Linked DNA regions of Arabidopsis thaliana. The protein of the gene in region 3 binds, or shares a complex with, the protein of the main gene of each other region. Each region holds a gene or a part of one and is shown on either strand. Other genes may lie near its edges.

The links.
Region 1: SFR6 (region 3) and MED8 share a complex: the UniProt entries of both Arabidopsis thaliana proteins name them as parts of the mediator complex.
Region 2: SFR6 (region 3) and MED19A share a complex: the UniProt entries of both Arabidopsis thaliana proteins name them as parts of the mediator complex.
Region 4: SFR6 (region 3) and AT5G05140 share a complex: the UniProt entries of both Arabidopsis thaliana proteins name them as parts of the mediator complex.

Annotation. Positions count from the first base shown.
Region 1 is NC_003071.7:902,738-911,156, forward strand, and holds MED8 (mediator subunit 8), read left to right. Parts: upstream 1-2,775; 5' UTR 2,776-3,087; intron 3,088-3,213; 5' UTR 3,214-3,240; coding exon 3,241-3,419; intron 3,420-3,509; coding exon 3,510-3,634; intron 3,635-3,728; coding exon 3,729-3,853; intron 3,854-3,921; coding exon 3,922-4,105; intron 4,106-4,210; coding exon 4,211-4,294; intron 4,295-4,415; coding exon 4,416-4,471; intron 4,472-4,561; coding exon 4,562-4,831; intron 4,832-4,919; coding exon 4,920-4,976; intron 4,977-5,293; coding exon 5,294-5,500; intron 5,501-5,587; coding exon 5,588-5,638; intron 5,639-5,735; coding exon 5,736-5,799; intron 5,800-5,882; coding exon 5,883-6,055; 3' UTR 6,056-6,535; downstream 6,536-8,419. Other genes in the region: AGL30 (AGAMOUS-like 30), read left to right, coding at 12-86, 164-276, 364-832. UniProt on the Arabidopsis thaliana protein: Component of the Mediator complex, a coactivator involved in the regulated transcription of nearly all RNA polymerase II-dependent genes.
Region 2 is NC_003076.8:3,951,783-3,959,605, forward strand, and holds MED19A (mediator of RNA polymerase II transcription subunit 19a-like protein), read right to left. Parts: upstream 4,404-7,823; 5' UTR 4,127-4,403; intron 3,562-4,126; 5' UTR 3,504-3,561; coding exon 3,476-3,503; intron 3,354-3,475; coding exon 3,064-3,353; intron 2,830-3,063; coding exon 2,593-2,829; intron 2,404-2,592; coding exon 2,344-2,403; intron 2,184-2,343; coding exon 2,133-2,183; 3' UTR 2,037-2,132; intron 1,595-2,036; 3' UTR 1,358-1,594; downstream 1-1,357. Other genes in the region: AT5G12220 (las1-like family protein), read left to right, coding at 1-250, 367-1,232; CLE22 (CLAVATA3/ESR-RELATED 22), read left to right, coding at 5,958-6,269; AT5G12236 (uncharacterized protein), read left to right, coding at 6,366-6,500; AT5G12240 (octanoyltransferase), read right to left, coding at 7,338-7,391, 7,482-7,541. UniProt on the Arabidopsis thaliana protein: Component of the Mediator complex, a coactivator involved in the regulated transcription of nearly all RNA polymerase II-dependent genes.
Region 3 is NC_003075.7:2,494,979-2,502,316, reverse strand, and holds the start of SFR6 (sensitive to freezing 6), read right to left. Parts: upstream 4,387-7,338; coding exon 4,049-4,386; intron 3,972-4,048; coding exon 3,903-3,971; intron 3,813-3,902; coding exon 3,724-3,812; intron 3,641-3,723; coding exon 3,528-3,640; intron 3,417-3,527; coding exon 3,315-3,416; intron 2,871-3,314; coding exon 2,780-2,870; intron 2,593-2,779; coding exon 1,996-2,592; intron 1,788-1,995; coding exon 1,169-1,787; intron 1,075-1,168; coding exon 995-1,074; intron 672-994; coding exon 589-671; intron 150-588; coding exon 1-149. Other genes in the region: NSF (AAA-type ATPase family protein), read left to right, coding at 6,651-6,826, 7,132-7,227, 7,308-7,338. UniProt on the Arabidopsis thaliana protein: Component of the Mediator complex, a coactivator involved in the regulated transcription of nearly all RNA polymerase II-dependent genes.
Region 4 is NC_003076.8:1,516,513-1,524,646, reverse strand, and holds AT5G05140 (Transcription elongation factor (TFIIS) family protein), read right to left. Parts: upstream 4,943-8,134; 5' UTR 4,295-4,942; coding exon 3,833-4,294; intron 3,745-3,832; coding exon 3,676-3,744; intron 3,596-3,675; coding exon 3,513-3,595; intron 3,419-3,512; coding exon 3,366-3,418; intron 3,250-3,365; coding exon 3,100-3,249; intron 3,015-3,099; coding exon 2,722-3,014; intron 2,640-2,721; coding exon 2,558-2,639; intron 2,469-2,557; coding exon 2,350-2,468; 3' UTR 1,510-2,349; downstream 1-1,509. UniProt on the Arabidopsis thaliana protein: Component of the Mediator complex, a coactivator involved in the regulated transcription of nearly all RNA polymerase II-dependent genes.

The DNA.
Region 1 (8,419 bases), on a different chromosome or scaffold from region 3:
TCTGTTGATAGGAACATTTTGGGCAGCAGCAACAGGCAATGCAAATAGAAAACGCAAACTTTGTTAAGGATTGGTCAACATGCTCGGTAATTTACTCGAATGACTCTTCTTTAGTTCTCATTTGTAACAAAACAAATTGTAAACCCGGCTGTACAACTTTCAGATGCAAGATGGGATTCAGATTCCTTTAGAACAACAGCTTCAATCTATGTCATGGATTCTTAATAGCAACACCACCAACATTGTCACCGAGGAACACAATTCAATCCCGCAGAGGTTAGTGAAAACTCTCACCGAGAGAACTTTTCTTTCTTTTAATATTGAATCATATCTTAAAACCAAATCTTTGTCTATCCTCAAAAGGGAAGTCGAGTGCTCAGCGAGTTCTTCATTCGGGAGCTATCCAGGCTACTTTGGAACAGGGAAATCTCCTGAAATGACAATTCCGGGTCAAGAAACAAGCTTTCTTGATGAACTAAACACCGGACAGCTGAAACAGGACACAAGCTCGCAGCAGCAGTTCACTAATAATAATAATATCACAGCATACAATCCCAATCTTCACAATGATATGAATCATCACCAAACGTTGCCTCCTCCTCCTCTTCCTCTTACTCTTCCGCATGCTCAGGTGTATATTCCAATGAATCAGAGAGAGTATCATATGAATGGATTCTTTGAAGCACCACCACCTGATTCTTCTGCTTACAACGACAACACCAACCAAACCAGGTTTGGTTCTAGCAGCAGCTCCTTGCCTTGCTCAATCTCAATGTTCGACGAATACTTGTTTTCCCAGGTAACCAAAACAAAACTTTCTCAGAGATTCTAAATGGGTTTTTGTTTTGTAGACTGATTTGACAATTTGTTCTTCTTTCTTATAGATGCAGCAGCCGAACTGAGAGAGATTTGATGAATGATGATAAAACATCTCACTGAAGAAACTCAAACCAATATTTTTTTTCAGAAACAGCAAGAAAGCTAAAACTCTGCCGATTTCTGAATTGGTTCCAAGAAGAAAAAAACCAGTGGTAATCCCTGGTAGATTGTGCAACCAAACCACACACAATACGTGTTCATTTATTTTTTCTATATCTTCAATAGATGTCACTTAATTCTTTTCTATACATAATTTCTCAGTCAGATGAGATTTTTTGAGGTTTTCCATATTTCTCCGGCGATAAAAGTTAGTAGTGTCTTTGGAGGGCTGTCAAAGTAACGCCATGACAGCCAAAAGATGAGAAACTCTCTCTTCCTTCCCTTCCCACAAACTCTAGCCTCTGTATCTATTCTTTTTCATTCTTTCAATGTAAAACAAACAAACAAAACAATGTTTACTACATTTTTGTTTTTGTTTTTGTCTTCAAAGTACTCTTGTTTATTAAGTGATTTATACAAAAGTTTACAAGTTATGTAGGATGAACTAAGGAAGCTTATGTTTATGGGTTAGAGAGACTACATTGGATGATTCTTCTAGGATTTTGAATCACCAAGAACCATCAACAAAGCCAACAGTATCTTTCACACAAGTTACTAATATCTTCTTAAATAGTTTTACTTTGTAAGAACCATTTCCTTGAGTGGGTTTACAATGGGACGGACTAACTTGCGTACAAAGACCGTTTTTTATTCACTATTCATAATTTTGGTCCGCAGTTTAGTAAATAGGAAAAAATATAAAAACTCTAGGGGAATTGGAAAACTAACCAAAAAAAAATATAATTAAGAAACTAGCATAAAAAAAAAAGCAATGATATCCTCTATATTTTATATATTAATTCCAAGTTTACCCCCTCTATCTCTTTCCGTCTACCTCTCTCTTCCCTTCTCTCTCCCCTCTATCTTTTTCTCTCTCTCTCTTTCTCTCTCTTTCTTTTTTTCTCCCCCTCTCTCTTTCTCCTCCCAATAAAGTTCCTACACCTACCTCGTTACTTGTTTTTTATTTCAAATTAGAGTCTCTTAATTACTTTAGGGTGATATTTGATTTGGGGGTTTCGAATTACAGAGCGAGGAACACAAGTTAGGTTCAGGGAATTGACTTTCGTTGTTGCACTTGATGATGAAATAGGGTTCCGTTGTTGCGCTTGGTGTATTGGTGATGAAATTGAGTTCCGTTGTTGCATTTTGAGAGATACTATTCTATTTTGTAAATAGTATACTATTTACGTATACCTTGTTCTATATACGTTTTAAAATGAATTGTTTGTTTTGATTAAAGATGTTAAGTGATTTCATTAATGTTTTAGATTTAAACCCTTGGGTTCCCTATATATTATCCCTTTAGGGTTTAGTATACTTCCATCAAAAAATATTGTCAATTTATATAGAACGTTATGTTATTCATTGACAACACTATTCACATCTAAATTATTTTGTGTCTATTTTCAAAAATTTAAGTCATGATATTTGTAGAAAACTATACAACTTTTTAATAGATATATCATGAACTTGAATTAAATTTTTTAAGATCAGATAATATGAGTTACAATTGAAAAGGAGTAAAGAAAAAAGAAAGAGAAAAGAGAATTTCTCTCCTACCACCTATTTCTCTTCTCACCTCAACACCAATAATAAAGTCACGTCAGCTCACACTAATCATTCTCCTTCTTCGCTGACGAAGCGTAACACCAGGACAGTGATGTCTTTTTACTCTCCTTGAAGGTTATTTACTACATTTACAAATTTATGGTGTTAGTTGGTTAATTATTTAGTAAAAAAGTGTTATATCTACAAATCACGCAAAACTCTATTACGGACCAACAAATAGTTTATTTGAAAGCAAAAAAACAAAACTTGGTCCGTAACGGATTATTGTCCGTCTTAGAAATATAATGGTCTACTCCGCAAACAGATTTGTCCGTCTTAGCGACATATTGGTCTAGTCTGCAAACGGATTTATCCGCTCTGTCTATTTGTTGCAACCTTGTAAGTTTTCAAAGAGGAAACACATATATATGTTATGGATTCGGTATGTTATTATATTTCCCGGTTCTATTTCTCAAACACACTCTCTCGTCTTCTCCAATAACTAACTTCTCCAAATCAAAGCCTTCTTCGAGATTTTGCGCATTCCTCGTTTTCTAATTCGTAAGTTTCTCTTTTGTGTGTGTTTCTAATCGAAACTTTTGTGTCAATTTCAAATCGGAAACCTAATTAATTTGTTCAATTCGCTGTGATGTTAAAAACCCCTAATTACGTTAAATTTGGAATTAGGGTTTGTGTATTAGCTCTGTGTTATCAATGGAGACACAGCCGCAGCAACCACCTCCTCCTCCGGTAGCTGAGAAGCTGAATCCAAAACTGGAGAAGGAACTGAATCTGGAGTCGTTGAAGACACGAGCCGTTAGCTTGGCCAAAGCCATTGCTCGAATCCTTGAAGATTTCGACGCTTATGGTCGAACCAACACTACTCCTAAATGGTTCATCATCATCGAATCCAGAATTTGATAATATTTTGATGTTTATGAATTTTTTGTAACAAGGATTGATTTTCTTTTTGTTTTGAACAGGCAGGATATTCTAGGGCAGTATTCGATGGTAAATCTCGAGCTTTTTAACATTGTGGAAGAAGTAAAGAGAGTTTCAAATGCGTTTGTTGTGCTTCCTAAGAACGTCAATGCTATGAACGCTGCAAGTATGGTCTTTTTTTAGTTGTTTTAGTTGATGAGTTAAATGAATTGTGAATGTGATGAACTGGTTTAGCTTAGCATTTATCAGTGAATCTGCAGTTTTACCGGTTATGTTGTCTTCGAAATTACTACCGGAGATGGAAACTGATGACAATGCCAAGAGAGAGCAGTTGCTTCAAGGTGTTCAGAGTTTGCCTATACCAATGCAAATCGAAAGGCTTAAGGTTAGTTTTGTAATGTATTTTTGTTGTGATTTGTTTGCTGGTTTTTGAAATGGTATCTGTTATTACAGGCGAGGATGGATATGATTGCAGCAGCTTGTGAAAATGCAGAAAGAGTATTAGCTGATACTCGTAAAGCTTACGGATTTGGCACTCGTCAAGGCCCGTCTATGCTTCCTACTATGGATAAAGGTCAAGCTGCAAAGATTCAGGAGCAGGAGAAAATGCTACGAGATGCTGTAAATGACGGTAAAGGTAAGAGGGTTTTAGAATTTATTGAGTCATTTGATAGTGTACGAAACTGCAGTTTTCTGTTTTGCTGAATTCCTTCTCATGTTCTTTTACAATGGTTGTTTCTAGGAACACAACTGCCTCCAGACCAGAGACAGATAACCACTGCACTTCCACCACATCTGGCAGATGTGCTAATTATCAATGATGCAGGTAACGATTTCATTGATCTGTCTGGTAGAAGTAAACCCAATGCTTGAATCTTCTTTATTTTGTTACTACTACCAATGGTATTCTCACGTTGTTAATGGCTCCAAAAATTCTCTTTCATTAGGTAAGATTGCATTACCTGGGCAATCAAACAACATTAACAATCAAGGAATGATGCAGGTTAAACTAGTTTATTCTCTCTAGTTGTGATGATTATTACTTTTGTTAGTATCATTGTCTTTCGAGGTTCATGTCTTTGTGTGTTTTTAGGTTTCCGGGACTCAATTTGTGGGAAGATCAGCTGCATCTCCATCTGGTCCTAATTTTGATAACACAACATCTCCCTTACCATATTCCAATTCTCCTCGCGCTACGGGTATGGTTAATGTGCCTTCGCCTCAGCATCAAATCCAGCAACAACAGTTTCAACAGCAGCAGCAAAGGTCAAAATTAATGCAGTTGCCTCAACATCAGCAGCAGCAACTACTTGCACAACAACAACAACAGCTCAGGCAATCTTCTATGCAGGGATTGGGTCAAGTAGGCTTTGACATTTTGCAGACGTAGCAATTGACTGTTTTTTCCTACCATACTGCTTTATTGAGCAACATGCTAATTCTTTGTGTAGAGTCAGATACCAGCACTTCATGATATGCATGGGCAAGCTCAGCAAAAGTTTCAGACGGTAAGATAAATAGAACTACAACATAGTTAGGGGATAGATGTGTGAAGTGAAAAGGATCAGACACTACCTTGGTCAATTATTTGTATCATTATGCAGTAGTTATGGCCATAAATGAAGATGACTAGACGTATTTATACAAGTTTACATATACCAAGTGAATGATTCATACTCTTGAAAAGTTATCCTAGATCTTGGGACTTGGCAGAAGCTTTTATATAAAAGTAACTGTGACAGTTCGTAGTTTCAAACAGTAGAATCAAATGAAATTATGAAACAAGCTTTTGTCTTTTAAGTGTGAGTTTTATCTTATTTTTCAGTCACATGGGCAACATCAAATGCCATATTCCCAGCCAATGGGCGCGCACCAACAATTCCAAGCTAGACAGCTCTCAGGTGGACATATTCAGCATAGCATGTCTCAAGGACAGCTCAATCCAGCGATGAACCGTCACTTAAACCAGTTTTCAGGTGGAGCCAATAGTGCATTGTTTACTTCTGCACAAGGCTCCCCAAGTAGCCAAATGGTCAGTCACCTCTCTTTAACCTCTTGAATTGATGATTCGAAACAATTACTAATCATATTTTCTACGTACTTTTTCTTTTAATTCTAGATACCAAACATGTCATCTATGCAATCTCAGACACTTGTTCCTAGGATGCAGGTTAGCTCAAAAACTCCTCTACTCATTATGTTTCCCAAATCTGAACGATGAACATTGTCTTAATCTGATGATCTCTTTGGATTTTTATGGTTGTCAGCAATTTGGAGTTTCGGGTACCAATCCCCAAAGAAGCCATTCGTCTCAAATGTTGGGTGACCAGAGTAAGTAAACAAATCTCTTCTAAAACATGTTTTCTTACATCAAAATCGATTCCCTGACTATTTCATTTGTCCTATCTTTACAGTGTTTAACACCAGCGGAATGATGCAAACACAGCAAACACAAATTCAGCAATCGCAACAGCAGCAGCAGCAGCAACAACAAGGAGGCTATGGAAATATGCAGACGAATCAGCAGAGTCTACAGCCTAATAACATGATGCAGAATGCTCAACAAAGGCACCAAAATCCTCAATAACCCCTTTTAAATAATTTGGGCTTGTAATGGGCCGATGCCTGTATTTTGTAGTACCAAAGGCCTGGCCCATTCTTTAACATTAATACACTCACCAGATTTCTCTAGTTGTATGGTACTTTCACACTACACTAGTACACTTTGTTTACTTGTATCATTGTATGAGGTTAAAAACGTGAAGCAGAGATTGGACGGTGGAGGATTGTTTTCGTTCTGACATGTTTATTGAGAATTCGACACGTGGCATCGACGTGAACATCTCGACGCCGTTGATGGGGTTATAGAGACAAAACGAAGACGCGTTTCTGTTGTACACGGGACTCGAGAGAGCGACGTGTCTATGAAGTTTACCTGTTTTCTGAACTTTAAACAGAGAGCTTTAAAACTGCGACTCGAAAGCTATTAAATTTTCTGACAATTTGTTTTGTTTCTTGTCAACTTAATTTTATATACTCATTTTTTATGTACTTATTTAGCTCAACGACTCGTTTAGTTACCTCAATCAAATTTTGAAATTTAGTTACCATTTCTTTTAAATTTTTTGTTTGCTTTTGTTACAAATATGAAAAACTAGTTTACTTTGGTTTTTAGGAATTTGCGAAAAAATCACTCAAAATCGCTTATTTTTACAATTTATTGTGCACATTCAAAAAATGCAAAATAAATTTATAAAATTTAAAATAATACACAATATAATTTATTTGTGCGATTTTGCATATGTTATAAACGTTTTCACTATAACATATATTTGTATTCAAAAGTTTTAAAGATATAATTGAACTCATCATCTCAAAGGCTTTGATTTGATATATTATTTTCTTTAATATAAATATTCAATGCATAATTTTCTTTAAATTAATTTTATATAAAATAAATATTTTACTATATATTATATGAAATAAATGCTTTATTATAGGGAAAAAACCCAAAACAAACCTCAACTTGTTATGAATAAAGATGGATGCTCATTATAACGCCCATCATCTAAACTCATCATCTAGATGTTTCTAAGGTTTTACCCTTTCCTTGTAATCCTATATAAAGAACCCTTTACCTCAATGGAATAACACACTCATTTTCTTCTATCTCTTTCTCTGTTTATAACACGTTATCAGGACGCTCTAAAAGGTAGATATAGAGATTCTTACATTTTTTTAAGAACCATGTTTACTTATCGACTCATGGTTCATAGTATTTATTTTCTATTATTGAAACAAAACAATATGAGCCGATCGATGATTATAGTATAGATCGGTAAAAGCATGTTTTCAATGATTCAATAAAGAAGAGAATCATGCTTATCATTTGTTTCTATAATTACTATCGCATGATTCAATGATTCTACAAAGAAAATCGTTAAAGAAGATAATCATGCTTATTAATTGTTAATTTTTGTGATTTATTATTACAATAATGAATATATAAATTACCAATTTTATAATTATATAACTAATTTTGTAACTATTCATAACCCGGTGGTAGGTGATGCAAACATGTATTAATGTTTTAGCATTCCAGTTTTGAATAGTTGCATCTATATTCAATATCATTTTATAAATATTATATTGTCTAAAATCCATTTATGATTGATATGATATCCCTTATTTAACTCCTTTGATTAAAACGTTATACATATCTTATCACTTTTAGATATTGACTTTTCCATATTAAATATTTGATTTCCATATATTTGATTGTGTTATTATTATTTTTACTAAAAATGTTGCAAGATAATTTTTCTTTTTATAAGATTCCATATATCTAAATCTTTGTGTTATTATTATCTAAAAATTTTTATAAGATTTCCATATATTTGATTGTGTTATTATTATTTTTACTAAAAACGTTGCAAGATAATTTTTTTTTTTATAAGATTCTTTTCTCTAAATCTTTGTGGTATCTAAAAAAAAAAAAAAAAAAAAAACAAAAAAAATTGTTCATGGTTTTGCCCTAATTTTGCACGAAATCATTTTACCCAAATCTTGCACGAATTCATATTAGCCTAAATAAAAGTTTTGTCAAGATATATGTAAAATCCAGATTTTGCACAAAATAGTTTTATTCTGATTGGTTTTACAATATTGCATTAAAATTGTATTAGTATATCATACTTGATTATTTTATGAAATAAATTGATTGATAAATAACTTAATTTAAAGGTATAATCACTTATAGAAATTTTCATGAATGACTAGTTTAATGTATCTTAAGAAGATATCATATTTTTGATGGTCAAAATTTTTTCAAGAACTTAAATTATCACCAAAAGTTGAGAAAATAAATATGGTAAAAAAAAATAAGAAATTTTGAAAGAACTATTATAAACTTAAATCGAGTGTTTTTCAAAGGCTAAGAAAACAGATGAGT
Region 2 (7,823 bases), on a different chromosome or scaffold from region 3:
CTTGTTGAGTTATACCCTTCTTTCTCCGCAGAAATTTCATCTGTGCTCCTTGAATTCTTACTCAAGGCCTTGGATTCTTCAAAGTCGACAGATCTTCAGAATAAGGCTGGGCAAGATTTCAGGGTCTTTCTAGATGAATGGAAACCTGTAATAATGGAACTCTCAAATAGAGAACCTGAGTTACTTTTGACTCTACTCAAGGAAGTCCTTGATATGATCCAAAATAATGAACGGAGAAGACATGAAACCGGTAACTATTGGTTTATCCTAAATGCTTTTTCTCTTAAGGATCCTCAGTTGAAACTTTAAATTGTTTTCAGATCGTTTCTAACATGTATGAATTGTATCTAAATTTGCATCTTACAGAAAAGCCAGTGGAAGAGGTTTCTCAAGTTGAGCAGGTCCCTTTCTTGTTTGCATGGCTTGTGAGTCTTCTCAATGGATCAAAGCATTTTCAGAGAAACAGTTCTCTAGAAGTGAAACCTCCAAGCATTTTCCTTATGGAACTTATACGTAGATGTCTTGTCTTGGGAGCCTTAGGATATGAGCTGGTTTTGAAATCAGCATTTCTACTCGCAGAGATTGTGGGAGGCCGTGTCTTAAAGGAGAAGCTCATAAAACTTCCTCTTATGCATAAAAGCTCTGCAATTGTTCCATTGAAACAGAGTTCTACTCTTGTAACAGCTAGTACAACGCTCCTTGAGCAAGAGAAGAATCTCGGTAATGCAGGCAAGAGACTTGAGTTCGTCAAACTTCAACTCTCAAAGAAGAAAGGTATTGACACAGACAAAACCGGTAACAGATGGAGAAAGGCAAAAACATGGAGCCCTTGTCCAATTGGTATGTTGCCTCGGATCATTGGATCTTCTGGACGTTTACCTCTTCTTGACAATCAGAATGCTAAGAGCATCTCAAAACAAGCACAAGGTAACAACAATGCGAAGAGAGGAGCTGAGTGTAATAGAAATCAATTGGAGAAATCGCCATGCAAGCGAGCAAGGAAGAGTGCAGGAGATTCTGAATCAAATGATGTGACATTGGAATCATACGAGGAAGAAGCTGAGATGGAAATAGAACATGCATATGAGGAAACTGAAACTGTAGCAGAAGAGAATCTGATGTGGAATGATGAAGAGGAAAGTAGAAGCTGCCTTATGATAGATGGTGAATGGAAAAGAGTAAATGATGGAGAACTCTCGGGGATGGCTTCTAGTGTTACAATTTGTGTTTGAGATTTCGACAGATGTAATCATATAATCCGACATATTTTTGAGAAAATAGTTCAGATATTTGATCAATTTTTACAGGCATAGTCGCAGACAGATAGACATTGTGACACTCAAGTAAAAGTAAATAAGTGGATTTGACAGTTACTTTTTCAACAACATCAATTGGTAAGTAAATTATTATACATGAATAGTAACGATTTGTGTTGTATTGAGTATATAGACAGAAAAGAGATGGAATAGAACACCCCAAGAAAAATGTTACAAATCTGACACCAAATCAATTATGATACTAAATTCTTCTTCTTCATTTCACAAATTTCCCCTTTCTTCTTCAAGGAATGAATTCACCAGTTTGGGCTTTTAACCTACAAAGCCAATCATTTTGTTCAACACAACTTGAAAATATAAGAAAGTAACAAAAATGTAAGCAATGATTTGTGTTAGCTGAGACTGTTCTATTTAGAAACACATCCTATCTTTGATATGTTCTTTCGACAGGTTACCCGATTTTCATTAGTTATGTATCACGGCAACTTTCTTAAGACCAGAAAAGAATCCAATACCAATACAGAAGTCGCACAGAGACACATACAATGTTCCCTTGCAAATGTTGCGTTATTTGGATTTCAGTAACTTAAAGAATACAACACAAAACTCAAGTATCTGCCTAAAAATATTATGGGTTCAGTTCCCCTAAAGTATAGTATCTGGACTATAACAGATGTATATGTTCTATGAAGGATCCCGGAATACCAAGAACACCGAAAAAATTGTACAAAAGAGACAGGACAGTACACAGATGCTTACCTAATAAGCTGTCTACAGTGAGTTGAAAAGTGCTTCTAAAGTCTCCATGACACCTACTCGAGTGCAGAATACAAAATTGGAATGTCTACAACTTTTTTAGCCAGCAACCCTTATTGCACCCACCTCATCAAGCTTTGAGCTTTTATGCTGCAACAGGTTCAATCAAGAGCTGAATCAATACAATTTATCAAAGACATATTACTAGTTCTCTAGCACCTTTGTGCAAAAAAAACATTATGGTGGAAATTTCATGTTGAGTGTTAATGAAGAACGAGAAAAATTTGAGGCCCCACTTCATTACCATTACCTTGTTTTTTTTGTGCCTCTGAACGTCATTAAGATCTTCATCTCCATCGTGTTTCCTTTTCTGAAATATAAGTGAAAAGGCTCCATAAAAACTCAATAAAATGTTCTAGAGCAGTCTCTAGATCTGCTAATTTCATGCCAAGCAGGTCAAAAAAGCAGCCTAACTCAAGAGCAACAAATACAAAACTTTCCATTAAGCTATTCTTCTTTGGAAAGACAGACACCTTCAACAAACAGACATGTTCTTTACCTTATCATGATGTTTCTTAGAATGATCACCCGAATCATGGTGGCCATTTTTGTCCTTCTTTCTGTCTCGGTCCTTGTCTTTATCTTTATCTTTGCTTCTATCTTTATGTTTGTGCTTGTGCTTCTTATGCTCTCTATCTTTGTCTTTATCCCTGTCCTTGTGTTTCTTATGTTTCCTGTCCCTATCTTTCGACTCACTTTTTGACTTAGACGGAATTGTAGGAGCTCCCTTCTCTGCCTGAAAGAAGAATAGTACCAAGGTCAATCATCTCCATAGGACACCCAGATGTAATTCACATTACTAGGGAAAGATTCTCAATTAACCAAAGAACTTGATGTTACAGGAAATAGGACATTCATTACTGAGCCAGTTTTTAAGTTCAATGTAATGGCAAATACTGTTACTCTTATGAAAAGAAGGACATTTAAAACTCAAAACACCAAGAGAGAGTGAGAAAGATCAGATTCTTACTGGGGGTAATTCAACAGGAGTCATATCATTTAGTTGGAAAGACTCCTGAAGCTCATCTATATCAAAAGGCTGGATGCGAATATTAGTCTCCCGGCTCTGTGATATGCTCTCAATAAGCTGATCTAATTGCATTCCTTCTCCTTTTCTGATCTCTGTGTCCCCAACCACATTATGAAGATAATGGGAATCTGATAAAGAAACAGGAAGAGATTTCTTGCAAAAGAATTCATGGTGTTGCACTAGTTTGAATTGAGATATAAGATCCGCAGCACCGCACAACTCTCTTGGACCTGCACTTGAAACAAACAACACATTGACCTCAAGGTGAGCCAAAGGGGAAAACAAAGGACAACGAGCTACAAAAAAAATAACTTCACGAACTGAAGAAGCTCCAAATTCGAAACCAATGTACCTCCAAATTTTAAACGTTCAGGCTCCATCTTCTCTATCGCACTCTGAATTTCTTTTGCATGATCACTGGCTCACTGCATATATATCCTACACAAGGAAACAAAAATCAGAAAAAGCATAGAGTGATAAGGAAATAATACTACTACAGAAAGCAAATTCAGCTTCGATACTATCTAAACTAACAATTCTGTAGCACAAACAATACAAAAGTTATAACTAAGCACCAGCTCATATTTCATAGTGACCAAAACTAAGAAGTAAGAAAATCTAATTTAGCATTAGATGCTATCAATTCTCAACTTTTCTGCTCCAAGCTCAAAAAAAATGAAACTAGCATCAGAAACAAAACCCTAGAAAGTTTTCGGAAGTTTGTAAAAGTAAAATTAGATACCAAGTCCATACATTTTGGATCTAGTCAACAAGAAAGTTTCATCAATTTGTTCTATTTAGGAATGAAGCTAACAAAAAAAAAATCAGACAAGCGAAGTAATCACTAGAAACGAAGATTAGACTCGATAAAAAAGCTTCAAGCAGAAGAGAAATTCGAAATTGAGGAATTTGGAATTCGAAAACGAAACAAGACAGAGCCCAATAGCAAAACCAAAATCTCAGATTCAATTGGTAGGAGAAAGAATCGAAACAATCAACATACACGTTTCTTTCGACAAGCCCAGATCTCGTTTGAGAAAGCTAGCTAACGAAAGCAGCGAAACGTGAGGGGGGAAGTGTTTGGGTCTTGGGCTTGGGTATCGAATTCCCGCCTAAAATTTTGATTTTAGCAAGTGATCGAGAAAGGACAGAGATCGAAGAAGGTTCGAGAGAGCGAAAAAGCGAGACTAGTTAGGGTTTGAGAGTCTTTTGTGTCTGATGACCAATGAGAGAGGAATTATTCTCTGTTTTCTTCCGTTGGCTTCTCTCTCAATATAATCAACAAATTACAGTCAGCCTTTTTTTATTATTATTCAAGGGCTCCGCGTGGGCTTCACGCGCTCCTTCAACACGGCCCACTTAACCAGACAAATCAAGGATCTTCCATTAGCTAAACCGTATTCGAACCGAGTAATGAATCTCTCTTTAACCGGTGGTACTCTTATCCAAACAAAAATATCCACGACTATTTATATCCGATTTAGATTGTTATCTCTTTCTATATTTTTTATTTACTTGAGTGAAAAACATGAATTGTTATTCTAAAAAACCATTATAAGACCGAAAATTATCAAAACATAAATAATGTAAGTTTTCAGTGTTTTGGGTTGGTCGGACAGGTCTAATCCGATCGAGACATGCCTAACAATATCTTCTACAATTTAAGATGAAACATACGATGAATACATACGTGTATATTTGCTGATATAACATCAGAGACAAAGTGCTTGACGAGAACAAAATGGAATAATGGTATTTTTGGGGATTTGAGTTTGTATACCTGCTCTCTACTATGTAAATGATGATTTGTCTGCTGTAAAATAAATGGGAATATAATATATAAAAACGTGATGACTGATGAGGATATATTGAGGTACATATCACATATGGTGTTTCTTGACAAATATTGGACGTAAGTCTTTGTTTTTTCTTCTATAAACTTTCAGCTTGATTTCTTAAAAACATTTGTTGCACAAGTTGTAAATACGTTTATCGAAGGTAGAAGATGCATATTGGAGAATCATATCCATATATGTATCATGTATGTAATTTAGTTCTTGTGATACTGTTTTCTTTATTCTCTTTCTTAACTCATAATAAAGTAAAATTAAAAAAAAAAAAGTAATCTTAGAAAGACTAAAAAACGAGAAGCAAATATAGATATACAACATTTATATAAAATGGAGAGGAAGAAGATTCAAGTGGTAAGTGGATTTTTTCATGTGTGTGAGTGAGTGTAAATGTGGGTGAAGAAAAAGGGAGTGAAGACAACATCATTTTCCCCAAAGAAAGCTAAGTCTTAGAATCATCACTCCAATTCCCTTTTTGGCCCCTTCTTCTCTCTTTTCTATTTCTTTCTACTTTTGACCCCCTTCACATAATTACCTTCCTCTATATGCTTTATTATCACACCCTCATTACTCTCTAAAACTAACCACTATAAGTATATTATTAACCACACTAATTACTACCACTTGACCTAGTAATCCCAGCTAAGACCTTTGGAAATGATTCAACACACAAAAAAAACTTTCGTTAAAAATTAATGATATATATATTTACAAACCTCTATCTAGTTTCTCTTCTCTTTATTTGTAGAAAGTGGTGGAGAATAAGAAAGGGAGAGCAACAAACTTTTAGAGGAAGTCATAGGTTAAAAGCCCCATAGCTTTTTCTTCCATCACTTTCATTCCTCTCTTCTCATTCTTACAGACTTTGAGAGAGAATTTATTTAAGAGATCTTGATCAGATCTTTTATACTTGCAAAAATCGATTCTAAATATATAATCTATACCTTATAGAGAAACTCTTCATATCTTGAAGATTCCTAAGAGATGGGAAATTACTACTCTAGAAGAAAATCTAGGAAACACATCACTACAGTTGCCTTGATCATCCTTCTTCTTCTTTTGTTTCTGTTTCTTTACGCTAAAGCTTCATCGTCTTCTCCTAATATACATCATCACTCAACTCATGGAAGCTTGAAGAAATCTGGAAATTTGGATCCAAAGCTTCATGATCTTGACTCCAATGCTGCGTCATCAAGAGGATCAAAATATACTAATTATGAAGGTGGTGGTGAAGATGTTTTTGAAGATGGCAAGAGAAGGGTCTTCACAGGTCCTAATCCATTGCACAATAGATAAATTTTTGCTTTTACAAGTTTTTGTGAATTTTTGTCTGAATAAAACTCATTTGTGCAAACACAAAAAACATATTTATTTACTTTTTTTCTTACACTGATGATATACACTATATCGTACGTTATATGCCGTGATTGTAACTTATGTGTTCTATGTGGTGGGATGAGATTGAAGAGTGTTGAACAACGAGTCTTTGAAAATAGTAACTACTGCTTCTCGGTTTTCTTGATTTAATAGTGTATCGATAACACGCATAATTATCTTTTGGAACCCTTGTTTTTGAATATGAAGCTGGTGGAATTCGTGTGGTGTGTGTGAATATCTTGATAATGATAAATGAACATCATTGTTAATGCCAAATGAAAAAAAAAAAAAACAAGAATGAACATCATTGTTAAATTGAAAGAACTATAAAGCTAGTCTATTACAGAGTTGGATGTGAAAGATGTAAGATTATTACAGGCTATTTCATGCTTACGATATTGAATAAAATTGGTTTGAATAGCATTTTATTAGTCTAACAAAAGCTGTAAAAAGAGAATCATTGAGATGGGAAAACCTATTTGACACTAAATCACTTACACTAACAAACCACATTTGTAACAAAAGTAAATTGCAAACATACTTAATGTTAACTTCATCTGGAACAGACGAATAATTTGGTACTCTACTGTATAATCTTATTTACCTCGAATCATTGACTGAGTTTTACTATGAGTATACAATTTACTAGGTGTGGGAAAATGTAAGAAACAGTAACGAGAGAACTGTCGGAAAATTGGTGATAAAATGCAGGGCCAATAATGAGATTTTTCGACATAAAATTAAAAAGCTAAAAACAAGAAGTTAACATTTATAGATACCAAAAACATTTATAGATACCAAAATCAATAACAATTCCGATTGAAATATGGAGCCTTTGAGAAAGACTTGAAATCATAACTAGACGAACACGAGAAGATAATTTTTGCGCACTCATAAATTCATAATTACGATAAAGAAAAAGACAAGACTTGGAAGTGTCTCCACATTAACAAACTTTTGGAAGCACATCATATAGAAGACAGAAGTTTAAGAGTTTAGTAAATATCGCTTTGCAGCTTCTGGATCCAATTCTTCATACACCTGAAACCAAAACAAATGACAAAAAAAATGTCCCGAGCATTAGTAGCTATCTGCAATAAATGTCTTAAGAAGAAAATGTACAACACATACAAGTTTCTTGTGGAGTTTCTCGAAAGCCTTGCAAAATCTCTCTGCTTCAACCCCACCAACCTGCAAGAATGTGATGTTCATTAAGGAGTAGAAGAACAACTTCATATATGTAGAACATTTCAGTATATGTAGTAGAATCAGAGATGAAACAAGAATCAATTCTTTCAGTGTACAAGTTTCTAAGTTGACAAGTAAGAACAAACAAGATTTCGATCTCCATTCTCTGGCAAATCTCTTATTCACAATTGCACATCAGATGCAATGACTACGGGGAGACATTTTCTACTAAAATTATGAGCTACAACTCTATTGGTGAAAATTAGCTTATAAATCTCATTCAAT
Region 3 (7,338 bases):
AAAACCAACGCCGAAGGATTCACAAGAGCTGATTCAATACCTTTTCCAAGCATGTCCAACAACAACCTTGCTTGCATATCTAAAACCATGGCACGAACCTCTTGAGCATTGGTTCCTTCAAGTAACCGACATTTGATCCTATCTAGGTTCTGTAAACCATAAAAATACAAGTTCTTTACCAAAAAGCGCAACCAACCAAAAAGGAAAAAAGCAAAAAAAACACGAAGAATCTCAAGGGGGCAATAGACTGCCAAGATTTTGTTCAGCGTCTTAGAATCAGTCAATCAGATGCATTGTATATTGGCTACTCAAATAATCTAAAGTCAGATGAAGTTTGTTCCTTTTTTCTTTCTTTTTTTAAATTAGAGAAAGCTACACTATCTTATAGTCCGATAAAAGAACAACACAAAATAGGTTCTGCATGCTCATGGAATAGAGAAGCTTTACATTATAAAACCAGAAAAAAAAATATATATATATATATAAATATTTTGCAAAGACATAATAAACGGTACCGCAACGCAAACAGTTCAGACATTTAAAAAGGAAAAAGATAATGAGTTGGATTCGGGTTGAGTAAAAACATACAGGGCCATATTGTTGTCTGTGCTGTGTTGAAGGAAGGGAGTGAAAATCAGCATCCATGACAGCAATCACGCTGTTCAATGAAACTGTAATCATAAAAAGAAATACATCATCCAATGCTTTAAGCAGTATATTATTCAAACAATACAATATAATATTTGAACCACTATCATTCAAAGTTTCTATCATTCAAACCTTAGTATAAAAGCAAAATAGAAAAACAGAGAAAAGGTTCTTTGAATGACACTCAGCCTTTAAAAACTAGAACTTATTCCCAAACTAAAATACAAACTGTCATATTTCTAAGCAAAACTAATTCCAGTGGTTGTTCCACAACTAAAGACCCAAAAAAATCCAACTGCAGATATTAAATAACACTTAAATCAAGAAACTTAGCACTAAAGTATACCTATCCCATCCTCTGCAGCACTCTGTGTGCAGCCAACTGCATCCCACCAATCAACTCCGACCAAAAGACTCCACCAGAATCTGTTAAGAAAGAATGCAGATTCATATCTCAAGTCACAATATAAGTTCCTTTGCAAGCAGACAAGCTAGAAAATATATACCAGAGATTACATACCTCTCAGCGATCGCCCGCTCCCATGTTGATTGATCAACCTTTGATTGGTTACGCGGAAGAGCAGGAGGAAGAACACGGATGATTTTCAACATTGCGCAGTCCTTAGCAGCATCATGCCATACAGAAGCCGAACAACAGCTTGTTGGTGAAAATGCGGGTGCAGCAATTGCAGATCCAACATTTATTTGATAGTTTTCAACAGGTGAAAAAGTTGGACCAGAAAAGATATGAACTCCACCACGAAGAAAAGCAATCGCAATTTCACCACCATGAGCAGAATAGACAATCCGTGCAAGTGTCCGAATATCACTTGGCAAATCAAAAGGATCAAATACAACCTTGTTAGCCTTCTCATCACCAGAATCAGGCTCCTTTGGTGCATCCACACTTGGTCCTGCTGCAGCTACTTGATGATTCTTAAAATCTTTAGTAGGTGGTATGCTCATATCCACTCTGGATACCCAGACAGTTTGCGTGGGGACCTGTCCTCCAAAATTTGAAGTTGGGTTTCCAAATATCTGATGCAGTACAACAGGTTGAACACTTGATTCCCAGCGCTGTACTCTCCAGCCTGTGATTGAAGGACCTTCATCTGGATCATACGGAGACATGTACTGCCCTGCAGACACAAACAATTAGCATTTATTTTAAACAATAGATTGAAGCTGTTGCGCTTCATCACTCAAACAAAATTAGCATTTTCTCATCTGGCAGCTCTTCAATATATGAGCATTTCTAAATGATTGACCAAAAACTAAACGTAAACCTGAAAATGTTTATTCAATCATGGAAACAGTATGAGGTTCCGAGAAGGATGAGAACAGTACCTTCAACTATAACAACTGCTATCACTGAACCACCACGAGTTGGATCAAAAGCAACAGCGGTAACACCAGATCCCCATGTTGTGGTTGCTGCAGACTGAGCTGCAGCCTCTGGACTTACATAAGCAGAAAAATTGGAAACCGGTGAGCAACTTAGCGATATAGCATCACTGGAATCTTGATCTGAGGGCTTCTTCCCTTGCTTTATCTCGGATATTAAGTATTCTTGCCAGCTAAACAAGTACGCAGCTAAAGGAGCAAAACCTGTCCAAGAAGAAGAACTAAGGGATGGTGGCACACGACTGCCTGTAGAGATTTTTGGAGTCGCCTGGAGTCCATTTCCAGGGCCAGGGGTCACCTCCCATACTACAATTGTTGAAGGGTTTACAATTGGAACTCCTGCTACATGCATGGCACCACTGTCTGTTATAATAGCATCAGCAGCCATAATTCCACTTGGCCCTGCACCTAAAAGACCTTTCTTTGTACTAAACCACTTTGGTGCAGTGCTTCCCTGGTTAGAAGGCCACTGGGACCAATGAATTTGAACAGAGCCGGATGAGAAAACAGAGCATACACAGAGAAAGTTGGGCCACCGAGCTGCAACAAATGGTAGAGAATCAGAACCGTCACATAAAGTGGAGGAAAATGCACTAACGTCAGAACATGTTGTATTGATCTTGTCACATATATTTGGATGTCAAAGGAACTGACATAATTAAAATTAAGTGCATAATTCTGAATATATCATCAAAAAATGAGTCACAAGAGGCACGCAGAAGAAAACCTGAGCTTTCAGAGCTCTGCGAGAGAAATTTCTCCTCGAAAGTTGACTTTGCATTTGTACCAGAACTTGGCTTGGAGGACAACCACCTATACTGATTATCAATAAAAAGAAAACATAGAGGATAAATTTCCTAGGATAAAACTAGAGCAGCAAACTAGGTGGCCAGAAACAACATGATATTAAGTCCTTCAGAACATGTTCTTTGCAATGGCATTATTATCTATCTGTTACTCATTTCCTTATGTGTTCATGCCGATCATTAAAGAAATGCATCTAAGAAACGCAAATTGGAAGATCTTTTAGGAGTCTAGTAATTTTGCAAACAGAGAGTTGGGATTTCCAGGACGTTGTGTTTTCTCCATCTCATTTCCTCCAAAACGTAGAGACATTTCCAGTTCAATTACTCACGATTTAGTAATCCCAGTGCCCACTCTCACATGCAAGCCCTCCATTACTAATTTAACGAACTCATTAAGGGACAAATATGCTGTGCATTTGATAGAATGGCAAATAAGCAAAACATAAGATTACATACTGGGGAAGCCCCTGTCAGCCACTTTGTAACAACAGCAATGTCCTGACGCCATTCATGCTCACACTGCCAGGAGGTAGCGTCGTGCACTAAATTAGCCGAACCCTGCAAAACCAATCCACAAAAAAAAAATCATCTGAGGGTGTCATAAAACATCTTGACACAGAAGACAAAGAAGAAATATAAAGGTAAATCCCAGTGATCAGGAGCACAAACCTGAGTAGGCTGCGTCCAGATAGTTATACGTCCATGAAAATTAGCAATGAGTAACGCACGAGGACAAGAAGTGGGAGACCATTCGATAAATTGGACAGAATCACGAGGAGAGTCTACATATAAAAAATTGCATCATAATCGTTTATCACCCACTAGATCAACCGAGTTCATAAATAATTAACTGATATCAAAATACCTGCCACAACATTAAACACCGCACACTCAGTAGGGCGCTCAGGTATCAAGATATGTATTGGTATCCAAAAAGGTGTATTTGCCTTGGAGCTGCAAGAGATGAGAACAGAGAAAGATGAAAATTGAGAAATTCATCACTGCCCATACATTCAAGACATAGAAAAGTAACAAAAACCATACCTTGGAATCCTGGCACAGGTCTCGGAAGCACAAGCAATAGCATTCAATTTGCCACACCACGCAACAGCACTAACACAAAGAAAAGGAGAAAACTTTACAGGAATTGATGAAATTTAAAGATTTTCCGATGGGAGAGAGAGTCAAACCTGAAGTTACGGCACAATTCAGGAACACTCATCTTATGAAGCAAATTGGAATTGGGCTGCTTAAGCTTAACACAGAAAACTGTAGCCGGACTCACAGGATCAATCTCCATGTTACTACTACTACTATTATCGTCTTCTTTCTCTCCGTCTACTGATTTCTCTAACAATTTCTCCTCAACGACGACGAGAATCGGATCGGTAGACTCAATAGTCTCTTCCTGCTTCTGCTGTAATCCTTCTTCCTCTTTCTCCTCCACTATAGCTGGAGCTTCGATGATTCCTCCACCACCGCTATTATTAACCAAAGAAACTTCTTCTTCTGGGTTTTGCTGATTCATGTCAACGAAAGCAAACAAAACCCTAAATTTATAGAAAAATCGGAGAAAAGAGGGCAAGTGTGACAAAAAGTCGCGATTGAAGGCGACAGAAAGCACTGTGCGTTGAGAGAGAGAGAAAGTGTCAAAGTGAGAAACTGTTAAGTGGGGTTAACGAGACGACTTAGTGCGGGGAAAATTCCAAAATCCCCACAAAATCAAAATCGAACAAAAAATGCAATTTTGATTTTAGGGTTTGGTGGAGTCACAGTCTCGTCGCCGGGATGCAGAAAAAAAATCTCGGTGAAAGTGATGCAAAAACGCCGTCGTGTCTGGTCACTTTCTCTCTAAATTTTTTTCCCCTCTTTTTGTAATTTTTTACTTTTTCTTTTAAGAGCAAAAAATGAAGAAGTAAATTTTAAATGATAGTTTTGAATCTTTTGATTAAGGAAAATGATCATAATTTCATTTTTTCTTCTAATTTACCATCTTCAAATTCAAATTTGTAAACATGGAAAGGTACTAACTTAATTTGACATTTGGCATTTGAGGATCCTTGTTTGACATTAGTTTTTTTTTTTTTTTGCTAAATTTGTTAATATCATTACAATGAGAGTTCAGAAAATACAAGAACGTACAACCTATAGAAAAGTAACCAAGGCAAAAAAAATAAAAACAAGGCTACAATAGAATTAGAAAAGATTTAGGTGTGTTTAACGAATCCATAAAAGCATTAGCCGCTGCCAACGCTTGCGATGTCGTCGAGAAGTGATTAGGTTGCGAAGCTCACGATCCACCAATTTGAAGATGATAAGAGGTGCCACGCGAGTAGAGTTGTGCAAAATATTAGGCTTAGGCATTAGTTCATTTGCCTCCTCCCAAATCAAAAGTTAGGCTTAGGCATAAGTGTTTCCCATGGTTGTTGTATCTCCCTCAATGTAGCACGACCAAGAATGAGAATCACTTATTGCTTACACCAAATTCTTTGAGTTACATGCATAGCGTACTGAAAACTAGTTGTTTCGGCTTCTAACTAGATACAAGCAGAGCCATCCATGAGCACAAACGGGTCAAGCTCATGCTTGCGGCTTCAATTAATATAAAGGGAATTTAATGAAAAAAAACCTCAACTTTGGCCAGATCCATTTTTAAACCCTAAACTATGTTTTTAGTAAAACAAACCCTGAACTAAAACCTGTTAATAAACTTAACCCTAAACGTTGTTTAATTACTGTGGGGTTAAGTTTATTAACAGGTTTTAGTTCAGGGTTTGTTTTACTAAAAACATAGTTTAGGGTTTAAAAATGGATCTGGCCAAAGTTGAGGGTTTTTTTCATTAAATTCCCTAATATAAATAAAACTTTTGCCTCATTTTCTTATAACTTTCAGTAGAAAAGTTGGTTATTTGCTTATAAGATTACATTAGAGAGTCAAAAGTTTGAGTTCATCTTCATCTTCATTTGCCTTTTTATTTATTTTTTCATTTTCACTCATTAAACTAGAACCAAAAAAAAATTCCTTCTTTCAATCTATTAAATACTAGGGATGGATATGTCTTTGCACCATACCCTTTTAACCACCTTCTCATATCTAAGAATGCACCAAATTTCAAACTTATTCATTCCATGTTTACAACATTACTTATAAGTTTACTTGAGCTAGTTGTTCAATTTAAAAATCTCCCTATGTGAAGGTTGTTTTGCCTCATCTTCCTTCTCATTGTGTTTATTCCATTCATTAGCATCCATCATCTATCATTGCTCTGTGACAGTCCAAGATCTTTTGAGCTTTTATGTGTTGACCTTCTAGTTTCACATAATTGATCATCGATTGAAGTTTTGAACTATTTGTTGAAAAATAAATAAATGTGGTTAATCCGAACTCAAATTGAATTGTGAGGATGTGTCTCATGCATGACTTGCTCAAAATAATCAGTGAGCAAGTATTCTAAAATTTAGACTGAAAAAAAAAAAAAAAAATAAGAAAAGAACAACAAAAAAAATGAATTATGATTTGTGTTGCAAACCGGATTCTAATACCGAGCCGAGAGGGTATGACCAGATTTAATTTACCGCTTTTTGGTTTAATTCAGACGGCTATTGGTCGAACCGGAATGTTTGGTCTGGTTTCCAAAACATTGATCAGGACTCGAAAAATAAAAGATCTTATTAAAATCAAGGAAGCAATCGTAGTCTTCTGTTTATTGCTTCTCCCTCAAATATTTTCTTATTCGTTAAGGTTACAAAAATCAAAAAGACTCGAAGAAACCTGAGATCGAAACCCCAGCCATGGCGGGTCGTTACGGATCGCAAGTCATGACGATGACTGTGACCAATACTCCGTCCGCAGATCTAGCTTTTACTAACCTCGCTTACTGCTCTTCTTCCGATCTCCGTCAATTCTCCGTTCCCGGTTCCGATCTCTTCCTCGCCAACGTTGCCGATAGCTTCATTCTTTCTCTCTGATATCCTTTCTTATTTCCATTTTACGATTCATTTCTTACATTGCAATGCGAAATGCGATCCTAGGAGTTGATTGTTTATGTGATATGGCTAATTACTGCTAAATTTACCAAAATCGATCTTCGAATTTGAATCTCGGCCTTATGAATGGTTCTTATAATGATTGATTGATCTATGATCGTAGTACAAGTTAGGTTTTTCTGGTTTTCATGGATTATAGAAATCTAGGCTCCTTTGGTCGGTGACAATGTTGAACTTGTTCATTGTGTCATTTATTTCGATTTTTGTGAACTTAACTGGTGATTACTGGACATGGAAGCATCCGTGATGGAAATATTGCTCTCAATGCTATTCAAAGGCGACACGCTAGAGTTTCGACTGGTGATATGGTATCTGTTAGCAGGTGATTATACAGCTTGTTTTTATATTAATTTTCTGGCATGAATACGTTTTTGGTTTCTGAATATTGTCTTGTTCTTGCAGATTTGTTCCTCCTGAAAATTTTGATCTGGCT
Region 4 (8,134 bases), on a different chromosome or scaffold from region 3:
TTAATAAACTAGGAATTGATCCCCCTAAGAACCGATTGGAAAAACCTTTATGTATTTATTTATCAAAGTATTTGAGATCAATAAAATACAATTATATGCATTGATATTTTATAATTATATTATTTGTTAATGTATTTTATTTATCTCAAAAAGCTTATATAAAACCATTTTCTGAATTTCAATTCTAATTCGTAATCGTATATAAATAATGATTCTTATCCCATGTAATGATACTTTAATTTACGTTATAAATGATTACTTCAACCTAACGAAACACAATGGTGAATTATTTTTAATCAAAACCTAAGACTATCCAACAATGAACTCAATTCTTTCAAATTTCATTTATTTATGAGAAAGGTTTAAATTGCGCATAATTCTGATAATGTTTCCAGACTTTGTCCAATCGTAAATCAAATAAGACTCAACAATACTCAAATTAAACAAGTTGAGTTATTCGATTATATAGTATAATCAATTTTCAAAACCATGAAAATTTGATGAACGTTCTAAATGATGGATTTTTTTTTGTTTAGAACCGATACTCAACTATTTTCCCTTATTTCATTTGTCAACTCTTATTTCTTTATCTCACCGTTGATTGCGACGCAAGGAATTTTGTAACGATTAGCTGTCTATCTATCTAAAACTCCACATAAATTATAAAATGGTAACCTAAATACTTTGTGTCGGCAGCAGAACTGATGCTATTGTTGTTTTTTTGTCCATGTCAACTTCTCTCCAAAAACATGTCGATTCTCTGCATGGAAAAAAGATGCCTTCTTCTTTAGGGTCAATTAATGAAATAGTCACAATCTCTCGGATCTATATATTAGCATTTTTTCACATGCTTCACTACTTTTCAAGTCTTCCCAATTCCAACGACTGGGAACCAAATATCATTAATTAAATTAAGTGCATATTTTTCTATTTTTATTGAGTCATTAATCCTGCTAGAATGTTTCACATCAAAAATGAAGTGTAATCTAACAAAGTATGTAATGGATATAGGTCAATTTATTCATTGCATATTGATTATAAATGAGATTTTTTATATTCTTAAAATAGTATGAATTAGACATTTTGTAGTGATATTTCCAACAACAAAAAAAGATCTCATAATTTTGTTAAAAAAAAAAAAACTAAAGACATTTCGCTGCATCAATAGTAAGATTTAAGTTCTAGAGCTTTTGGAATTGCAGTTTTTTGTTTAGTTTAAAGTTTTGAGATTATGAGTTAATGTTTTAAATTTTGAAACTTACTAAATGTTAAATGTCATTTCAGTTTTTGTACACAGACAACAATATTTTTTGTATTTTCACATGCTCAACTTTTTTTTTCTCTCACATGCTAAAGTTTACAAAAATAACCAACACATCCATACGAATTTACCATCACGCCAAAAATCATTACGTTTGTTTTTGTCCAAAAGTGTTTGGGTGTACTTATTTAATCAAACTAAAAAGTGCATTTTCCTTTTCACGAAATAAAATCGTGACCATAAAACTAGATTTATCTCTATCCAACTGTTTTTCTTTCAATAGAAATGGAGTGAAAGATTAATAGAAGTTGTAGAAGTCCACGTGGTTCATGTGGTGAAATGCGTGAACGCGTAACGCCGAGATAATAACAACATTGAATAAAAAATACCAACACGCACAAAGACCACACTGCAACAACATTCCTATCCATCCACGTTATCTCCCACCCCCCACTACCTTCTCCTCTTTTCTTATCCACCCACCTTCCTTAAGCCTTTCCAATGCCATCTTATTTTATATACATAAGTAATAAGAAATGACAACATTCGGTCACAATCACATTCATTCATAACAATTGGATATCATTATATAAATATTTATTTATTTGGAAAAAAGTGTCATCATCTCTATATTGTGTCCCAAATCATTTCACATTACTATACAAAGTTAGGTGAAGAGCCGGTCAATTTCGAATGAGCTTTTCTACCCTCTCTTTTACTATTTTTATATGATATATATGTAAAAGGGACCTCTCTCCTTGTCCCAAAACCGAACATAACCCGACTAAACCGGGACTGTACCGAAAGTCTCAAGAATGTAGTAAAGAACACATAAAAGAAACAATAATTGGTATCCCTATCTTGCTGCAATTGGTGAATCCAAGACAGAACAAAACAGAGGAGTAAACAGTTTGTTCAAAGTAAAGTTATGTTGGATTCTGTTCCTTCTCCTCTGCTTGTTTCTGTCTCCAGCTTTGTGGAACTAGACTCTGTTTACCTTTATTGCACCAGAGATTGCGAGATATGTGTGGTAAGTATGGAGTAATATCTTTTGCCGAGAATTATTCACCATTTGAACAAAGCAGAAACTATTTTCTCCCATTAGCCCAATTCCTGTTGCTCATTCCAGGTCTCTTGAGTTGCGGTTTCTGAGCACTACCTTGCTTTGGGATCATCTCAAGTACTTGTATCGTTCGCTGCTTCTTGGCTGTGGCAAGATCACAAACATTTTTAAGTTCTTTTGTTTTCAAGAATGTAACAAAAAACTCGAAACAAAAGAAAGGAAATGAAACGAACCATTCTCGTGATGCTGGTAGCTTTCTTGAAGTTTCCTCTTTGCAAACTCAAACTTTGCGTCTGCATCAAGACCTTTAAGTTTCTGCAAGGGACAAGAGCAAAAACACCATCAATTCTACGTCCAAGAATAGGATATTAGACAAGAGCTTTGTCTCCACACTCACTTCTTGTTGAGGTCCAGGAGCTTTCCGCTTCTGTTCTGTAACAACCGGTTTCCTTTGGATCATGGGTTTTTCAGACTTGTGAACAGATACCGTTTCGTTCTTCATCCTTTGCTCTGTACTTTGCTTTACAGGTCTTCTAGTCCCATCAAAATCAGTAGCTGATGATGGCTTAATAGATCTAAAAGGAGCATCTTGTATCCTCATTTGTGTTCCCTCAGGTTTTCTCTTGGCGATATTTTGTGGCCTTCTTTCATGCTCTCGGCTTGTGTTGTGTTCTTCAGAGTTACGAGGATCTGAAACAAACATCCCCAAGAAAATCAATCAACACGTAGCTAAGAACATGTTCTCAAACAAACAAGACATAGTTTTAAAACTCACTTCCATCAAAGTCCAAGGAATCAAAGAAGTGTGAGATTTCAAATCCGTTTGGTTCAGGTGTAAAGATATCAACATCATATGGAAGCGATGGAAACGCCTCTTCTTCATCAAGGACAGACGGGTTTGCAGACTCTGGTGTACCTTCAGCACCTGTTTTAAACACAAAATTAGAACCAAAGACTATGGATCTAATTCAAGAAACCAAACGGTAAGACACGAAGCCAGTCATAAAAGATCGAAAAGCGAGACAGAGAAAGCGCAATTACCAGTGATTTCCTTTGTGGTATTCACCCATTGATCCACCAACTCCTTCCATTCTCTGCATAAACATATCAAAAACTCAAATGTGAGATTCAAAAGTGCAAAAGCATAGCAAATGTCAATCAAACTTGTGAAAGATCAAAAACTCATACGCGATAAGAGTCTTAGCGAGTTGTCGAATCTTATCAGAAGAATGTTTCCTGAGGCCATTAACAGCCTTTCCAATCTCAGTACTCTGCGAGAATAACCGCAAACCTTAAGAATCTCAAGGATCATCAACAACAACTTCATACACTATCCACCAAGATAACCAACCTTAAGAATATCCACATTCAAAGACATCAACTTAAGATGTCTTAAAGAATCGAGTAACACCGAGTTTGGCTGCAAGAGAATACAAAAAAGAACCAATCAGAAAACACAAAAAAAAAATCTTCACATTGATGAAATTTCAAGAACTTGAGAATCAAACCTCATCTTCTTTGTTGAGCAAGATCTCTTTGATCCTAGCAACCTCCTTAGAAACCACAGAAAACTCTTCAATCTCATCACTCAAAGCCTCAGCTTCATCAAATGTATAATTGCTAACAATCTGATTATTATCCCCTCTGCTACTATTAGCTTTGCTCTCTTTACTACCACCAGCAACCTCATAATCTTCATCAACCGCCGTACCACCACCACCATTTCCGGTGGTTCCACGGTTAGCCTCGTCGTCTCCGGGAACAGACAATTCAAGATGGTCGCATCCGACGCAACGATTCACTCTACAGGAGAATAAAAGCTCGGCGATTTTGTCTCTTCTGGATTTGAATTTGTTAGGACAATCAGTAGCAGCCACCATGATCGCATGATCGATGATCCCGAATATATCGGAATCTCCTCGCCGTCGGAAATATTCTCTCCAGCTATCTAATGAACCCGATGCTTTCATCGTTTCTCGATTCAACAAAATCGGAGTCTAATTAACTCAAGAATTTGATTTTTTCCCCAGAAAATTTGAAGAAGAAGCAAAATAGATTTCCAGAAGAAGAAGATTGGGATCGTTGAAGATTGAAGAATTCGAAAAGAGAAGATCAGAAAATATCGAATCTACGACAGAAGATTTACTTACCAAAAAAAGATCAATCAAACTTAAAGGTTGAGACTTTGAAGATTGTTTTGTTCTCAATCAAAATATGATCAAAAACGAAAAGGATTTGTGATCAAAAGAATCTATAGAGAGAGAGATAAACACAAAATCTGTTTGGTAAGTTTTTATTAATTTATTTTTTTTGGTACCTTTCCGAATCTGACAAGAAAACTTTCCCGGAAAGCCCAGAAAGGATTTTCCCGAGAAAAAAATGCACCGCAGCAAAGATGAGAAAGAAGGAGGAAACCCAAAAAAGCAAAAGAGAGAATACAGACAGAACATGAAACAGTTTTGGTTACGTTGTCTATCTAAAACCCAAGTGCTACTACGTTAAACACAGCTACAAATTCAATTCAACAAGAAACCTTTTTATTAATTCAGAAAGAGAAATAATGAAATTTATTTATTTCCTCTGATTGAAGTCTCTCTGTATATCTGTTTGGTAAAAGAGATTTTATTTTTATTTTAAGTTGGATTTTCTTTACGGCTTTCTTTTGACCTGATCGGTCTGTTTTGGCTTTTCATTATTATTATAAAAACACATTATTCTTTTTTTCCTCACACATGCGTTGTACTTGAACGACGACACAAGTTAAGTGATTACAAGGTCAAACTCTTTTTTTTTTTTTTGGGTCATAAATCTTTTTTACGTTGGAAAATGTCAAAAGTAAATTCTACTAAGAGTGTTTAGTTAGTTATACGGACTTTAATGAGAAGCTCTGAAGAAGAGATATTTATTTCCTAATGCTGCTGATCAAAAGCGTTTATCTTCTAGTCAAAGAGTGATATATTAGAATATTTGGTAAATCCGATTCAAAACAATAGTTTCATGTTTTAACAGTTAACACTATCATTTCATTTTATTTTGTTTTATAAGAAATTGGATTAGGTACTTTAATTTGTTCAGATTTGTAAGACAGAGAAACAAGTATTTCTTTGTTTACAATGTTTTAAAAATATCTAACAAAAAAGTTGTTTTATTTTTTTTGTATCCCTTTGTACTTTGGATTAGGTACAAAATGACTCACAATGTTTTAACCTCGTTACCCTCACAGCTTTTTCATTAATTCATCGACTATTTTTTCATAACCCATACTTGTTAAGGCCATTAGGGCATCTCCATCCATGAAAAACCCACAAAGTTTTTCAAACAAAAAAAATATTAATATTATATTATAATTTGATTATTTGATTAAAAAAATATTTTTGTTAAAAAATTAAACCAATAGTAAGATGATAATTGTCATGATGGGTTGTAGAGACTATCTCAGAGTTTCTCAAGTGAGAAACTTTCTACACTCTCTCTCCTTCATTTTCATTATTTTTATTTTTTTAATTGTGAGAAACTCTTATGAGATACTCCCAATAGAGATGGTCTTAGATATGTAGTTTATTTACAATTTATCAATTGTAAATAAAAGTTACAACTCTTCACTTATACTCATAATGTTCCGGTACAATCCAACCAAACCTTAACTTAGATCATATTTATTTTAGAGAATTTACCAAAAAAAGACATAGCATGATAGCATCATGTCATCAATCATCATACATTGTCTTATTTTTGTTGTTGTTGAAAAAAAAAAAAATCAACTGTTTTTCTTTGTATTTGCATTTTCGTTTATGTTTACATGTTCCAAAATGATACCACAATCATAACTGTTTTAATTCAAAGTAAGAACTTTGTTTTGTGTTTACAAAGTTATAAAATAAGTTGGACTATTAAACTTAGCTTGATTTGTTAGAGCAACAACAGAAAATAGAAGAAGAAAAGGAAGTTTCTGTTTGTGGAATGAGAAGCATGTATTAAATGTTGGTCAACAAAATCGACCCCTAAAAATATTATAATTTGATTTTATGTTAATACGTGACAAAACGAAGTCGTACGATTTGGGACGGTGGTGATTACCAATCAGAATTTACTCACCTTCAAACGCGTGAAAAACACTGGGACTCCTTTGAGTGCTAACCTCACGGGCTTGTCACAGCCACGTTTACGTGACAGACTTTGATTGGCCGACACGTCAGCAGATATAGTGGCTGCTTTACGGTGTTTTAGTGGACCTACTTGAAGAAAATGGTGCGTGTTTTGTATACAAGAGATAAGAAATCCATCTACCACGGACGGTCTCATTACAATTTTTTTATTATCTGAATAACCAATTATAGATATAACACCTAATGTATTTTGCTAGAAGTCGACAAAAAAAAATTAGACTGGAGTTGGAAAGAAAAATTAGAATTTTTTAGGCTCAAATTATTCAATATGCATATATTTATTTGAATCATTGTGTCATACTTGTTCTAGAACTTTAAGCTTATGAATGATGATTAAAGTTTATCTTCAACGAGTAGGCATTATTATTAGCTTCTTCTGCTACTCTAATGATTCTAAGAAAGCGTCGAGAAAGTTAATACAGAAGCAAAGAAAACTATTCGAACTGCGGAAGATAAAGAAAATAGGTGGATAGAAAAATTAACGGTTACTAGTAAGATTAAAAGAAAGGTCAATTACAGAAGATAAATAGGCAAGATTGAGATGATTATGATGAAAAAAAAAGAACCCTGCATATTTGAATTTGCTGTAGCAAAATTGTCTAAAGCTTTGTATTCTTGTAGTGTTTGAAATTTACTCTAATAAATATTTTTCATAGGTTTATGGGGAATTTAGCTAAATGATTATGAAATTTATAAGGAATAAGTCATTTTTCTTGTATTTTCGTTGAGATCTAAAGTGTTTGGAGACTTGTACGAGGTTATTCGAGATTATTTATCAAACAAATTAAGAGATAAAAGTATAAGGACGAGGAATTCAGAAATAAGAGTCAAATAAAAGTTATTTGATAGAAGAAGATGAGACTATATAAAAAAAGTAATTTATTAGTAATTCATACAAAAAATGGTAGGCATACATTTTATAATAAGTAATTACGTATCTCCAATTCAAGATACTCAAACACCGTTTGAGAGTATGGATAACGAGCAAAATGGAGATAACCATCAACCTCGTCTATACCAACCCCTATCAAACAAAAATTATGTAATAATCTTTTCTTTGATTAATATCATTCTTAATATTGTTAAAGATTTCGGATATTCGACTATGTGTACTTGGTTTTTTTCTTTTTGTTGTTGTTAAAAACTATGTGCACTTTGTTCCAAGATATGACCAAGCAAACTCAAATCTCTGTTGTCCACAACAACAACAACATATTATATGTGAGAAATTCGAATCAAATTTTTTGTTTTACCTGTTGAATCAATGCCACCAATATAAGAAAATATAATCCAAAATGCCATACCGGATTCAACATTATGAAACTGTTCTGTGTTCTGACCGATATAATTACTCTACTTTTATGACCTTTATTGATATTGCCACAGCTAGCGCAAAGCTGAGATGAGAAATATTTTAATCAAAATGTCGTGACTAAAGCAGAAAATTTAGAAGCAAATTTTAATTAGCGACGATTTCGTAAATTGCATGGCATAATTTAGTTTGGATTTATACGGTTTTCTTGTGTGTTGTATCGTTGACTATTATTACATTCATAATTTATTTATACGCTTTTTCTGACTTTTAACGATATCGAAAAGAGTAAATGCCCCTTTCGTATTTTGACGCTGTTTGATTCTTTTGAC